Linked DNA regions of Arabidopsis thaliana. The protein of the gene in region 2 interacts with the protein of the main gene of each other region in a biochemical or structural test. Each region holds a gene or a part of one and is shown on either strand. Other genes may lie near its edges.

The links.
Region 1: the proteins of AT5G02050 (region 2) and TERT form a complex in vitro, tested with the Arabidopsis thaliana proteins (one study listed by BioGRID).

The regions. Positions count from the first base shown.
Region 1 is NC_003076.8:5,537,645-5,545,587, forward strand, and holds TERT (telomerase reverse transcriptase), read right to left. Parts: upstream 5,916-7,943; 5' UTR 5,801-5,915; coding exon 5,501-5,800; intron 5,346-5,500; coding exon 5,271-5,345; intron 5,190-5,270; coding exon 5,124-5,189; intron 5,043-5,123; coding exon 4,931-5,042; intron 4,752-4,930; coding exon 4,405-4,751; intron 4,109-4,404; coding exon 4,036-4,108; intron 3,914-4,035; coding exon 3,781-3,913; intron 3,596-3,780; coding exon 3,460-3,595; intron 3,197-3,459; coding exon 2,144-3,196; intron 1,972-2,143; coding exon 1,442-1,971; coding exon of another isoform or gene 1,426-1,441; intron 1,343-1,425; coding exon 1,070-1,342; intron 953-1,069; coding exon 679-952; 3' UTR 536-678; downstream 1-535. Other genes in the region: BPA1 (binding partner of acd11 1), read left to right, coding at 1-382; AT5G16860 (Tetratricopeptide repeat (TPR)-like superfamily protein), read left to right, coding at 6,190-7,943. UniProt on the Arabidopsis thaliana protein: Telomerase is a ribonucleoprotein enzyme essential for the replication of chromosome termini in most eukaryotes. It elongates telomeres.
Region 2 is NC_003076.8:402,471-406,406, forward strand, and holds AT5G02050 (Mitochondrial glycoprotein family protein), read right to left. Parts: upstream 1,877-3,936; 5' UTR 1,775-1,876; coding exon 1,490-1,774; intron 1,382-1,489; coding exon 1,023-1,381; intron 929-1,022; coding exon 769-928; 3' UTR 509-768; downstream 1-508. Other genes in the region: PRA1.A1 (prenylated RAB acceptor 1.A1), read left to right, coding at 1-1; AT5G02060 (Uncharacterized protein family (UPF0497)), read left to right, coding at 2,438-2,568, 2,876-3,008, 3,110-3,304; AT5G02070 (Protein kinase family protein), read right to left, coding at 3,425-3,936.

The DNA.
Region 1 (7,943 bases), 5.1 Mb from region 2:
AACCGCCACCGCAGGAGTTGCTTCACTAGACCAAAAAATCGGTCTTAGCCAGAAACTTACAGCTGGAACAAGCTTGGTGAACGAAAAAATCAAGGCGGTGGACCAAAACTTTCAGGTAACAGAGAGGACCAAGTCTGTGTATGCAGCTGCGGAGCAGACTGTGAGCAGTGCAGGAAGCGCTGTGATGAAGAACCGTTACGTGTTAACTGGTGTGAGCTGGGCCGCAGGAGCATTCAATAGAGTGGCTCAAGCAGCTGGAGAGGTTGGACAGAAAACAAAAGAGAAGGTTGAAGCTGAGCAACCATCGCAACCAGCACAGTCGCAGCAGCAACTGCCAGAAGGGTATTCTCCGATTCATTCGTCCGAATACTCGAAGAACTAATATCATCAAGTTAAACAGTTTCCTTTGTTTCTCCTTGTTGGTTTCTTTGACATGGAAGTTGGAAATCTGGTTTGGTCTTTGGGATGTACCATATAAGCTATGCCTGGATTTTCCCTACCACTATTAGACTATAGTTTGGGTTTTTTCCAATATACATATTTAATAAGTTGACATTTAAATCTTTCTTTACCCTAAATGTTACAAATCCATTTTGTTCCTAGATTATCAAAATGACTGAAATAGAAATTTAAAGGATCTACCTAAGTTTCGATGATAAAATCTAGTTAAGATCAGTTTCAATAATTCAACTTCCACAGCGAAGAAGAGTTTGACCGGTCTGTTGCATACCTCAATTCCGACGATAGCTGCTGAGAAAGAGAGTGTTTAGAAAGTGCAGATTTTAAATAGATCAAGAGCATTCGATATCTCGAGTTTTTCTTCTTCAGAACTTGAATATAAGCGTCTAAGCCAAGCCATATCACTTCTTCTTTGTATAGTTTAAGAACTGGTCTGAAACTAGAACCAGTGTTGATTCTGCGCACCCTTCTATTTATGAGTCTGAACATGTACCTATCAGTTGGAAAGAAATCAAGAACCGAATAAGCAAAAAAAGACCGAATAACTCAAATCAGAATGATCCAAAAACCGAAATGCTCACAGACATATGATGTAGTTTTGATTCCATACCTGACAGATATTGTGATGAATTTGAACAAAGTTTGAGGATGAAGCTTCCAAAACCGGGACACCTCGTAGACATAACAGTGAAACTTCATTGCAGCCAACAGAAAGATCTGATAGATGTTTAACCTGACGATTTCTCCCGAGTTGATGTTCGAGTCAAATAGAATTGGATGACATTTCGGAACCAAGAAGTAACACAATTTTTGCCGAAGATTTCTAACTGGTTTGTTCTGCCAAGCTACAGAAAAAGTTGAGCTTATATGGCCACTCAAGTACCTGTTTCCATGAATTTGAGGCAAAATTATAAATAAAAGCTGAGGAAACAGAGCCAAACAAGTATACTTATGAAGGAAACATACAGGAGATGAGGCAGACCTTGTGTAGTCAACTTGAACTTCAAATGTGCGGGAATTAATAAGCAAACCCGTCCATCTGACAAAAGGAACTCCATTATCTCCCACAAACATTCTATTAGAAGAACACCTATGTTCTTCTTTATCTTCAAAATTTATGCAGAATTTTGTTTCGTTCATGAAGCAGTTGTAATCTTTAAATCCATGCTTCAACCTGTGATAGAAGCTACTCGCCTGATCTCTTGAGGTAGACACAAAAAGGTAGTCATCAATAAATCTCAGTAACTTATAGCTCGTGGGAATTATAAGCTCTTCCTCTCTACTGCATTCTTTAGAAGACACATCTTTAGAGGCTTCTTCGAGGAATGGGTAGATCAAAGTCCTCTCGAGATGCCCGTAGTAAAAACAACATAACAAGGATGATAATCTGTGTCCCTGAGGTATTCCAGCTATTTGTACATAGAAGCTTTTATCCAACTGCAGCATGTTGTTCTTTAGCATATTTCCTATCCAAACCATTAGATCCTTTTTCCTCACTCGATGGTTTTCTCCCTAGAAGGTTGGACCAAAACCATAACACCGTTAAGCAAATAAGTAAAGAACAACAGGGACGCTACAAGCACTAAGAAAAGAGATCTCTAGAGATTTTTTTAAGTAGTCCAATAGTTTTGTATTTTACCCTCTGCAAAAAGATCAAAAAGCTCTAGGTCAAAAAGAAGCATACCTTATCAACCACGATACTTTGCAGTGCATTATATGGAACAGTTGATGTGAATCTTGAAAAGTTAGAATTTTTGTCACTCGAGACTAGTATTTTGTTTACCCAATTGGATCTCTTCCCACAGCAGACCAGCCTACATCTGTTTAAGATGTATTCATCTTTCAGAAAACTTTGAATGACATGAAGCAGCTTACCCTGGTCGACTGAATCAAATGCTTTGAATACATCCGCAACCACAAAGTACAAAGGAGGAAGTTCTCCAGATTGACTTCTTAAATGGATCAGATATGGGCATAGGTTTCTGTAGAAATCATCATGGTCAAAGACAGAAGACCCAAGAACATCTGGTTCTTTGAGCTGGATGTCCTTCAAAACAGCATGTGTATCACGAAGAGATTGCGACCTTGACGAAGAACTAAAGTCTAACACCATCCTCACACCATTGGCCTTTGGTAAAAATCTAAACTTTGATAGCTTCTTCCTGCTACTTTCAGCTTCAGCATCGTCTACTAGGACATATCCATCAAGGGCTTTGCTAATTTCTTTGCTTATTAATCTTTCCCAGCTCCTTTTCCGGTAATAATAAATATTTAGCCGTCCTCCTTGGCTTTCAGTGGCATAGAAGTTGAAGTGCACCAATTTCTTGACAATCTCTAAAAAAAGCCAAGAAATCCATTTCGTGCACAACATCTGCTGTGTACTTCTGATGGATTCACTTTGGAGTTCATGTCCGTTGACCATACAGCATAACTCTTTTCTAGCAAAGAATGGGAAATCTGATGGTTTCACTTTATGCAAAAACTGATTCACTGTGCATTTCTCATTTCGTCGCCTTGAAACAAACCACGCTATATTTTTCCTAAGCACCCTCATCTGATGAGTGGTCCCAAGCAAACTTTCTGGAACAATGTACCTACAGATGGCCCAAATAAAGGAAACTACTTGGTCGTTCGTGCAATACAGCTTCCTTTCTTCAACACTGGGACATTTGGGTTTTCCCGTTTGTGATGAACTTGATCCATGAGGCAGCTTATCTGCTTTTTGCCTCCTTGAACTCTGTAATACAAGATATGCAAGGTTCGTCACTTCAAGGAAGCACTTGGAAGTGCCACGGATATGAATTCTTATGCAGGTTTGCACTATATATCCAAAGTCTATAAAGTAGCAACTGTGTTGATTTTCCATTTCTAGTTTCTTTTTGTTGTACATATTCGAATATTCAACATAACTTCTCTGAAATAGAAATACTCAAAAGACATCAAACGAAAAACGCTAGGGAAATTAAATATGAAAACCATCTCTAAAAGAAAAATATCAACCTGAGAAGTCGTTCCGGACTTCAATGCATCCTCTTGCAGCAAGAGAACAGGACAGTGTTTGTCTAGTAGCATTTTTAAATGTGAAGACTTTGTTTTTCCTATTAGATTTTTAAGAGACTTGAGCAATGAATGGTATCTGCAAATCAATGTAAAAGACATCATGATATCATTTTCTTCTTTGCATCAGTTACCTCAACAAAACTTTTAAACAAATTCCTTTTATAACTCAGACTACTTAGATATGTGCTCTACATTATCTGAATACATGCTCCAAGTCTCAGAGTAAGCCGAAGAACTTACAAGAATAAATGGATGACTTACAAGCAAATAGATCCACTGGGGCAATTGCCTTTGCCATGAGATGGCGTCGTTGACCAAACATTTACTTCACCAAATATATGGTTCATTAGGAGCTTTGAATCAGAGCAGTTGGGCCTCAAGGTTTTTAAAATGTCTGTATATCATAAGGAATCATTCACAATGCAGAAGAACTGTATAGAGAAGAGTAACGTTTAAACTTCCATCAAGCTATCGTTGCTACAAGTCATTGAACATGTCAAAACCACTGAAGGATACGGTTTGGTGGTATAACTGAATACGTTTCTGAGAGGCCAAACTTGAAATTCTTGTTTCTTTTAACCTGTTTAGCCTACAAAAAACAGTGATTAAATCTTACAAATACAAGAACAGATTGTCGAATTTGAAGGTAATGAAGTGTCAGGAAGAATATTAATAACCACCAGAATACAACAAGATAAATGATACAGTTTTTAAAATACACCAAAGTACAACTACAAAAATAGTCCCATCAATTTCTCAAGGCTGAGGATAAATCAAGAGCAATTTATACACGTCTCTTAGTAATTTTAAGCAATAACTTTATGTTTAAACTTGTGCATTTTCAACTTAAACTTGATTGATCAATATCATTGTTACGAACATTACCTGCTTTACAAAATCAGTGAGACTTCCATTTATACCAATGTGCAGATTCATTTCGTCATTACCAGTTGAGACTTTACCATTTGTACTGGGAGTTATACAAGGAGCATTACAGTCAACTTTTTTGAAATTGACCTTTCTCTGCTTTCGCCGACGCTTAAGATATATTCTTGAACGCTTAGTAGTTTTTTTCTCTCTATGTTGGTCTACATCCTCGCCAACTATGGGCGTAATAGTTGCAGAGTCATCCTTAGGACAGTCATCGACAGCTGAAGAAAGCCACTGCCTTTTCGTTGGTGGCTGAACGTTGTCATCCCTCTTTCTTTTGTTTTCATGGACTGACAATGTCCCTATACCATGGAGAAGGAAAACTTTACTAAGTTAATATGAACTAAAAACCAGAAGTTGATAATCGATAACCAAGCAGTCACAGACAAATCATAAGTATTCAGAGAACCAACAAGAAAGTGGAAGTTTCAAAAGAAAGCCAACAGAAGAGCTCGGATACAAGTTTAATTCTGAGACTCACGCTTATGCTTGATACATAGAGGAGGTCCAGACACTTGCTGGTGTTTTTTCCCTAGTAATGGTAAGAATATTGATGTTTGCTGTAGAAGATAAACCATGACGTCATGACCGACCTATAAACAAGGGAACTTGAATATTAGTGACCGCAAACTCGAATATTGAAAGTAAATCATCAAAAGGGTTTGAGAACAAACCCGCTTGAGAAGAAACTCCCAAGATGAACTTGTCAATAGCTCCAAAATAGGGCTCGACTGATCATACTGTCAAAGGAGACGAGAAATCATTAGGCTAAGAAAATCAGCACTCTACATTGAGTTTGAGAAGGAAGAAGAAGAATTCACCTTATCATATCTGGCACATATCACATTTTGGCAATCACATCCAGATTGCATCATTTCAATAATCCTTTCAACAATCTGATAAACTCAATTGAAGCAAAATGTTTAGAAATCAGCAACATCATACAAAATAAGATAACATAGAGGCATTTTATAAGGAGTAGCCACGTCTTGAAATATCTCAAATTAAGCACTCAAAGCAATGTATAGTACAGTGGGAAGAAGAATCTTACCTCTCTCTGTGACCACCAAGATGTTGGAGAGAAATCCAGAAGCGGAGGGGTTTGTTCGTGAAGTACAACGAAGCAACGGTGAAGAAGTTTACGGTAGTGAATGGGATCATCGGAACGCAGCAGAAACGCCGGTTTATCGCTGCTGCAACCGAGACAACCTTGACCCCGGCATCGGCATTGCTCCGGCTGGATATTCCGGTTAGGAATCAGATCTACTATTGCGTCGTTTAAATTCCTGGCTCTGTTTCCGAATAACCTCCATAGAATCTCCGGTACACGATGTCTAGGTTTACGCGGCATTACACCTTCCTCCTCCTTTCTCTCGAATTTGGAGAGAGAGAAGAGTGAACGAGCTTCGATAATGGAGTCTGATGGTGTGAAAGAGGCGGGAGATTAAAGGTCTTCTGGGTTCTCGAAACTATAAACTGCGATTTTGAAAATTTCAAAACAATTCAAAGCTGAGCTACAAACGCTATCCAAAGCGTCCACTCAACCGCAAACGCAGGTCGCTTAGCACATAAACCGAACCGAAATTCGCTTTAAATTTTAATCGGTCTATTATACTTTCTTCTTCTTTTCACATCCGGTTTCATTACTTTCTTCAAATTTCCAATCTAAAACCGGGATATAACCGAATTGATTTGTTTAGTTTAAACGCAGAAATCACCCGCCACTCTAGTTACAGTAGTATGATCCGCCGCCTTCTCATCCCCAACGCCGCCGCAAAATCTCACCAGTACATTAAAGTCTCTCTCTTCTCGACATCGGCGCCGGAGATAACACCGCCGTTTATTCACAAATGCAAAACCATCTCTCAGGTCAAGCTTATTCACCAGAAACTCCTCTCTTTCGGAATCCTAACCTTGAATCTCACTTCCCACCTCATTTCCACCTATATCTCCGTCGGTTGCTTATCTCATGCCGTATCTCTCCTCCGTCGTTTTCCTCCATCTGACGCTGGTGTCTACCATTGGAATTCACTCATTCGCAGCTACGGCGACAATGGCTGCGCCAATAAATGTCTCTATTTGTTCGGCCTTATGCATTCTCTGTCATGGACGCCGGATAATTACACATTCCCCTTCGTCTTCAAGGCTTGCGGCGAGATATCCTCCGTTCGTTGTGGAGAATCTGCTCACGCGCTTTCTCTGGTAACTGGATTTATCTCCAATGTCTTTGTTGGGAATGCGCTTGTTGCTATGTATTCCCGTTGTCGTTCATTGAGTGATGCACGGAAGGTGTTCGACGAAATGTCTGTTTGGGATGTTGTATCGTGGAACTCTATAATAGAAAGTTATGCAAAGTTAGGCAAACCTAAGGTGGCGCTTGAAATGTTTAGCAGGATGACCAATGAATTCGGATGTAGACCTGATAATATTACCCTTGTGAATGTTCTTCCTCCTTGTGCTTCCCTAGGAACTCATTCACTAGGGAAGCAATTGCATTGTTTTGCAGTCACAAGTGAGATGATACAGAATATGTTTGTAGGGAATTGCTTGGTGGATATGTATGCAAAGTGTGGGATGATGGATGAGGCAAACACGGTGTTTTCGAACATGTCAGTGAAGGACGTAGTATCTTGGAATGCTATGGTTGCTGGGTATTCACAGATTGGAAGGTTTGAAGATGCTGTTAGGTTATTTGAGAAGATGCAGGAAGAGAAAATAAAAATGGATGTTGTTACTTGGAGTGCTGCTATTTCAGGGTATGCTCAACGGGGACTTGGATATGAAGCTTTGGGTGTGTGTAGGCAGATGTTGTCTTCTGGGATAAAACCAAATGAAGTCACGCTTATTTCGGTTCTTTCGGGTTGTGCTTCTGTTGGAGCATTGATGCATGGTAAAGAGATTCATTGTTATGCCATCAAATATCCCATAGACTTGCGTAAGAACGGTCATGGTGATGAGAATATGGTAATCAATCAACTGATTGACATGTACGCTAAGTGCAAAAAGGTTGATACTGCACGTGCTATGTTTGATTCACTTTCCCCCAAGGAAAGGGATGTTGTGACTTGGACTGTGATGATAGGTGGATACTCCCAGCACGGGGATGCAAATAAAGCTCTCGAACTTTTATCTGAGATGTTTGAGGAAGATTGCCAAACAAGACCAAATGCTTTTACCATATCATGTGCCCTCGTGGCATGTGCCAGTTTGGCTGCACTAAGAATTGGCAAGCAGATTCATGCTTATGCGTTGCGCAACCAGCAGAATGCAGTACCGCTGTTCGTATCAAACTGTCTAATAGACATGTATGCAAAATGTGGAAGCATCAGTGATGCCCGCCTTGTATTTGACAATATGATGGCGAAAAATGAAGTTACTTGGACATCTCTAATGACGGGTTATGGTATGCATGGTTATGGAGAAGAAGCTCTTGGAATCTTTGATGAAATGAGGAGAATAGGTTTTAAGCTTGATGGTGTTACATTACTTGTTGT
Region 2 (3,936 bases):
GAGTAATGTAAGTTTGAAATATCTTCTTCTTAGTCTAACATCTATTTGCTTAACTGGATGGTTAGATTTTCTGAAATGTTGACAGTCTTTGGCAGCTTGTACCACCATGATCGTGTTCTGCTGAGGACATAACGCTGTAAAGACCAAACTTACTGCCTTTCTCCAAGATAAACCCGGTTTCGTTAACACTGTACTATGGATGTTCAATCTGGATTTGTTGCTCAATGACTGGGATCATCTGTTTTTTCTTTGATTTGAGATTTGAGCTCTGAGCTCTTTTTGCTAGCAAAATCCTCTCTTTTTTTTGCTAAAGACTTGTAAAGCTAGCTTTGTTGTTCTTCGTTCTAACACAAAACCCTTTGTGTAAAGTCCTAGAATCGTTTAATAGCTTGCATTTTTTTCTTTCTTTTTTTGGGTTGAGAGGTCTAGTAACAATAATAATGAGATAACAAGAAATGGAAAATAAACAAATGATTTGACTACTTAGCCGAGAGTTTTCGGATAAGAATAGGCAATGGGAAAATGCAAAAGAATTATACTTTATTGAGGTCGTAACATTTTTTCCAACTGACACTCGAAAGAGTTGCATCTTATATCTAGCAAAGTACCTAAAAACCCATTAAAAACATGTAGCAATATTGTTAACAAGCATAACACATGACCTCACTTTCAACGATTGCTCATGGTGATATCAAGTTCATCTAAGATAAACTCAAAAGTTTAAAGCAAAAAGAAATCTCGCTCTTATTCTCTGAACAAAGTTCAGTTTCACTTCTCGACAAAAGACTTGAGATCCTTGAGCCATTGAAGATACTCTCTGCTATCTTTGTTGGCCACATAATCTGCCAGAAAGGTAGTGAAGCTTGGTTTAATACCTCTGATCTCCAAGTACCTGTGGAAAGCCTTCTGCAAATTCTCATCCAAGTCACTGCACATAACACAATAACCAAATTCAATCACATAACAATACCCCAATCTCATATATTCCAAACAAGAACTCACTATCATTGAAGTAAACTTACTCAAAGTCAGGTCCTTCGTAAGCAAGGTCATTATCAGATCCTTGCGGTTGTTTGATCGATAAACTATCAATCACAATCTCATCCGGGTATGCGCTGACTCCAAACTCAAGACACACACCATCACCTTTCTGCACACTAACAACCATCGGAACCCGGACTTTACCCGAGCTCTCTTGATCTTCATCGTCTTCTTCATTGTTTGGTTCTGCTTCCTCTTCTTCATCTTCATCATCATAAGAAGCAACAGAGTCAACTTCCACTTGGATGGTTTCATCCTCAAATTTCCTTGTCAGCAACACAGTTCTCTCCCCTGAATTATCAATGATTTCAAATGGAAACCCTTCTGGCTTATCTTCCAACTGTTTTTCCAAAACATTTCTAATTCAGATACAATTGTTCTAAACCCCAGAAATATTAAAATCTCATGAATTCGAGAAGAATCATGTATATTGAAAGAGAGAACTTACGAAGTCAGTGTCATGAGGAGCCTCCTCTGCGACGGCGCATTCGATTTCAGATTCGATAACGCTAACAAGATTCTCGTCGGCGGTTGTTTTAGAGATCGCACTTTCCGTCGAAAAGCTCGAGACTGAGAATGAACTAACCGATCCACGCCTGATCTGGTGGCTACCACGAATCAGCCTCTCGACGGAGACAGCGCCACTGCGGAAGCTAACCGGAGATCTACCCGCACGGAAAGCAAGATTGGCTACTGTTGACGAAGCTCGACGAAACACGGTGCTCAACGCCATTTCTGAGGATTCTAGGGTTTTCCTTAAAAGTGAAAAGAGAAACAGAAATGAGGGTTTTACTGAGAGAAGAAGAGAGGTTTAAGGTTTGTTTATAGTGCAAAGCATTATGTAGGAGATAAAAAGCCATTTAATAAGGCCCAATTACTTAATGGGCCATAAGAAGCCCATATATTAAAAGGAATTGGTCATTCGTACAGTGAGAGAGGAATGTCTGTGTGTGGACACGTCCTTAAAGGCAAAAGGAGAGAAGAACAAAATAGCTCTTGCCGGCGTCAGAATTGCGTCACTGTTTCTTCCAACTTCAATTTTAATATCGTTGGCTTGAAGTTAAGGGAAACATAATTGTTCCTCCAAAAAAGCAGAATTAAATTTGTGGTAGATACTTGTTTTTAAATTCATATAGCTCAAAAAAGTTGTCATTTTTAATGTTGGTTTTCTGGTGGCGATGCTCTTAATTACCCAATTCCGTACGATTTATGATCATAAGTCAACTTTTGAGATTTGGGTTTGTGAAATTTTCCTGAATAAAATTATGGGTTTAGGGTTTTTATGATCAATTTCCTGTAAAGTAGCGATTTTTTTCTCCCGGGGATTTTGGTGAGGAACAGGATAGAAAGTCTTGGTTTTGTTCTGTTTATTGTGTTTGTTTTTGGGTTCTGATCAATGAAGAAGATGATTGGGAGTCCTGGAACAATGAGTGGGTTGATACTGAGACTAGGGCAATGTGCAACTGCTGCTGCTTCCATTGGTGTTATGGTTTCTTCTTACGACTTTTCCAATTACACTGCTTTCTGGTAATTGTCCATCTTCAATCTCATTGGTCTTGGTGTTTTGGTTTAGTTTAGTTTAGTTGAAGACATTGGACACTGATGTATCAAAAATCTTGACTTTGTAGTTTTTTCTTGGATAAACTTTTGAAGATAGAGCTAACTGAACTAGTAATTGTGTATGATTAACATTTGCCTGAAACTTTGACAAGATTTTTTTCTTTGTTTGGTAAAAAATATGTGGAAATGGAATTATTTCTATATTTCGATTACTGTATGGGGTTATCTCAAAAGATACAAAATGATGATAGATTGCTTTTGCCAATGATTTCAGCTTCTTAGTCGCATCTATGGGTCTTCAATTGATATGGAGCTTTGGACTTGCGTGTCTTGATGTATATGCGATAAGGAGAAAAAGTGATTTACGAAGCCCTATCTTATTGAGCCTTTTCACTGTTGGTGATTGGGTATTAAACTTATCTTCCATTTCATTATATGCTTATTCACTGTTGGTGTCTTGTTGTTTTAAAGGTTATTTGTTTGATAGGTTTCTTTTGGAATTCTGCAGGTCACTGCACTTCTCGCTCTTGCAGCCGCGTGTTCCTCTGCAGGAGTTACTGTTTTATTCACTAAAGACACTGAGTTTTGCAGGCAGCAACCCGCTCTCTCTTGCGATAGGTTTCAGATTTCTGTTGGTTTATCTTTCTTTAATTGGTTTTTAGCTGCTATATCGTCTCATACCATGTTTTGGATCTTGATATGATATCAAACAAAACCCATCTCAATGATTTTACAAAAATCCATTTCTATGAATTGTTTTTCTCCAATCCATAACCGGAAACAGGGCAAGGGTACAAGTCATTTTGGTAATTTTCTAAGACAGCTATGTCTCAGTAACCTCTTGTGACAGAATATTGATGATGTATTCAATCTCATCAGCAACCTCTTTCATCGAAGGTCGGTTTTGTCTCCGTTCGTTAAGGCACGCAGATGCTAAATTCCCGAGCTGCTGTATCGTCTGCATGTCAATCTTGTTAGCTGTCTTCTTCAGCAGTGGATCGATGCATTCAGTCAATCTCTCTTGATCCATCATCTTGTTAATATACATCACCAGGTTCACATCTTCCTCTTCTCTAGTGAAATCTATCGCCTTCTTCGATGTAACCATCTCCAGAAGCACAACCCCGAAGCTGTACACATCGCTCTTATCAGTTAGCTGGAAATTCCGGTAGTATTCTGGATCGAGGTATCCCAATGTACCTTGCGCACCCGTGAAGATATGGCTCTCGTTATTAGCGGTTTCTGTCAAATCCACAAGTCTTGACAGCCCAAAGTCTGAAACCTTGGCGTTTAGCTTCTCGTCAAGCAAAATATTGCTTGACTTTACGTCGCGGT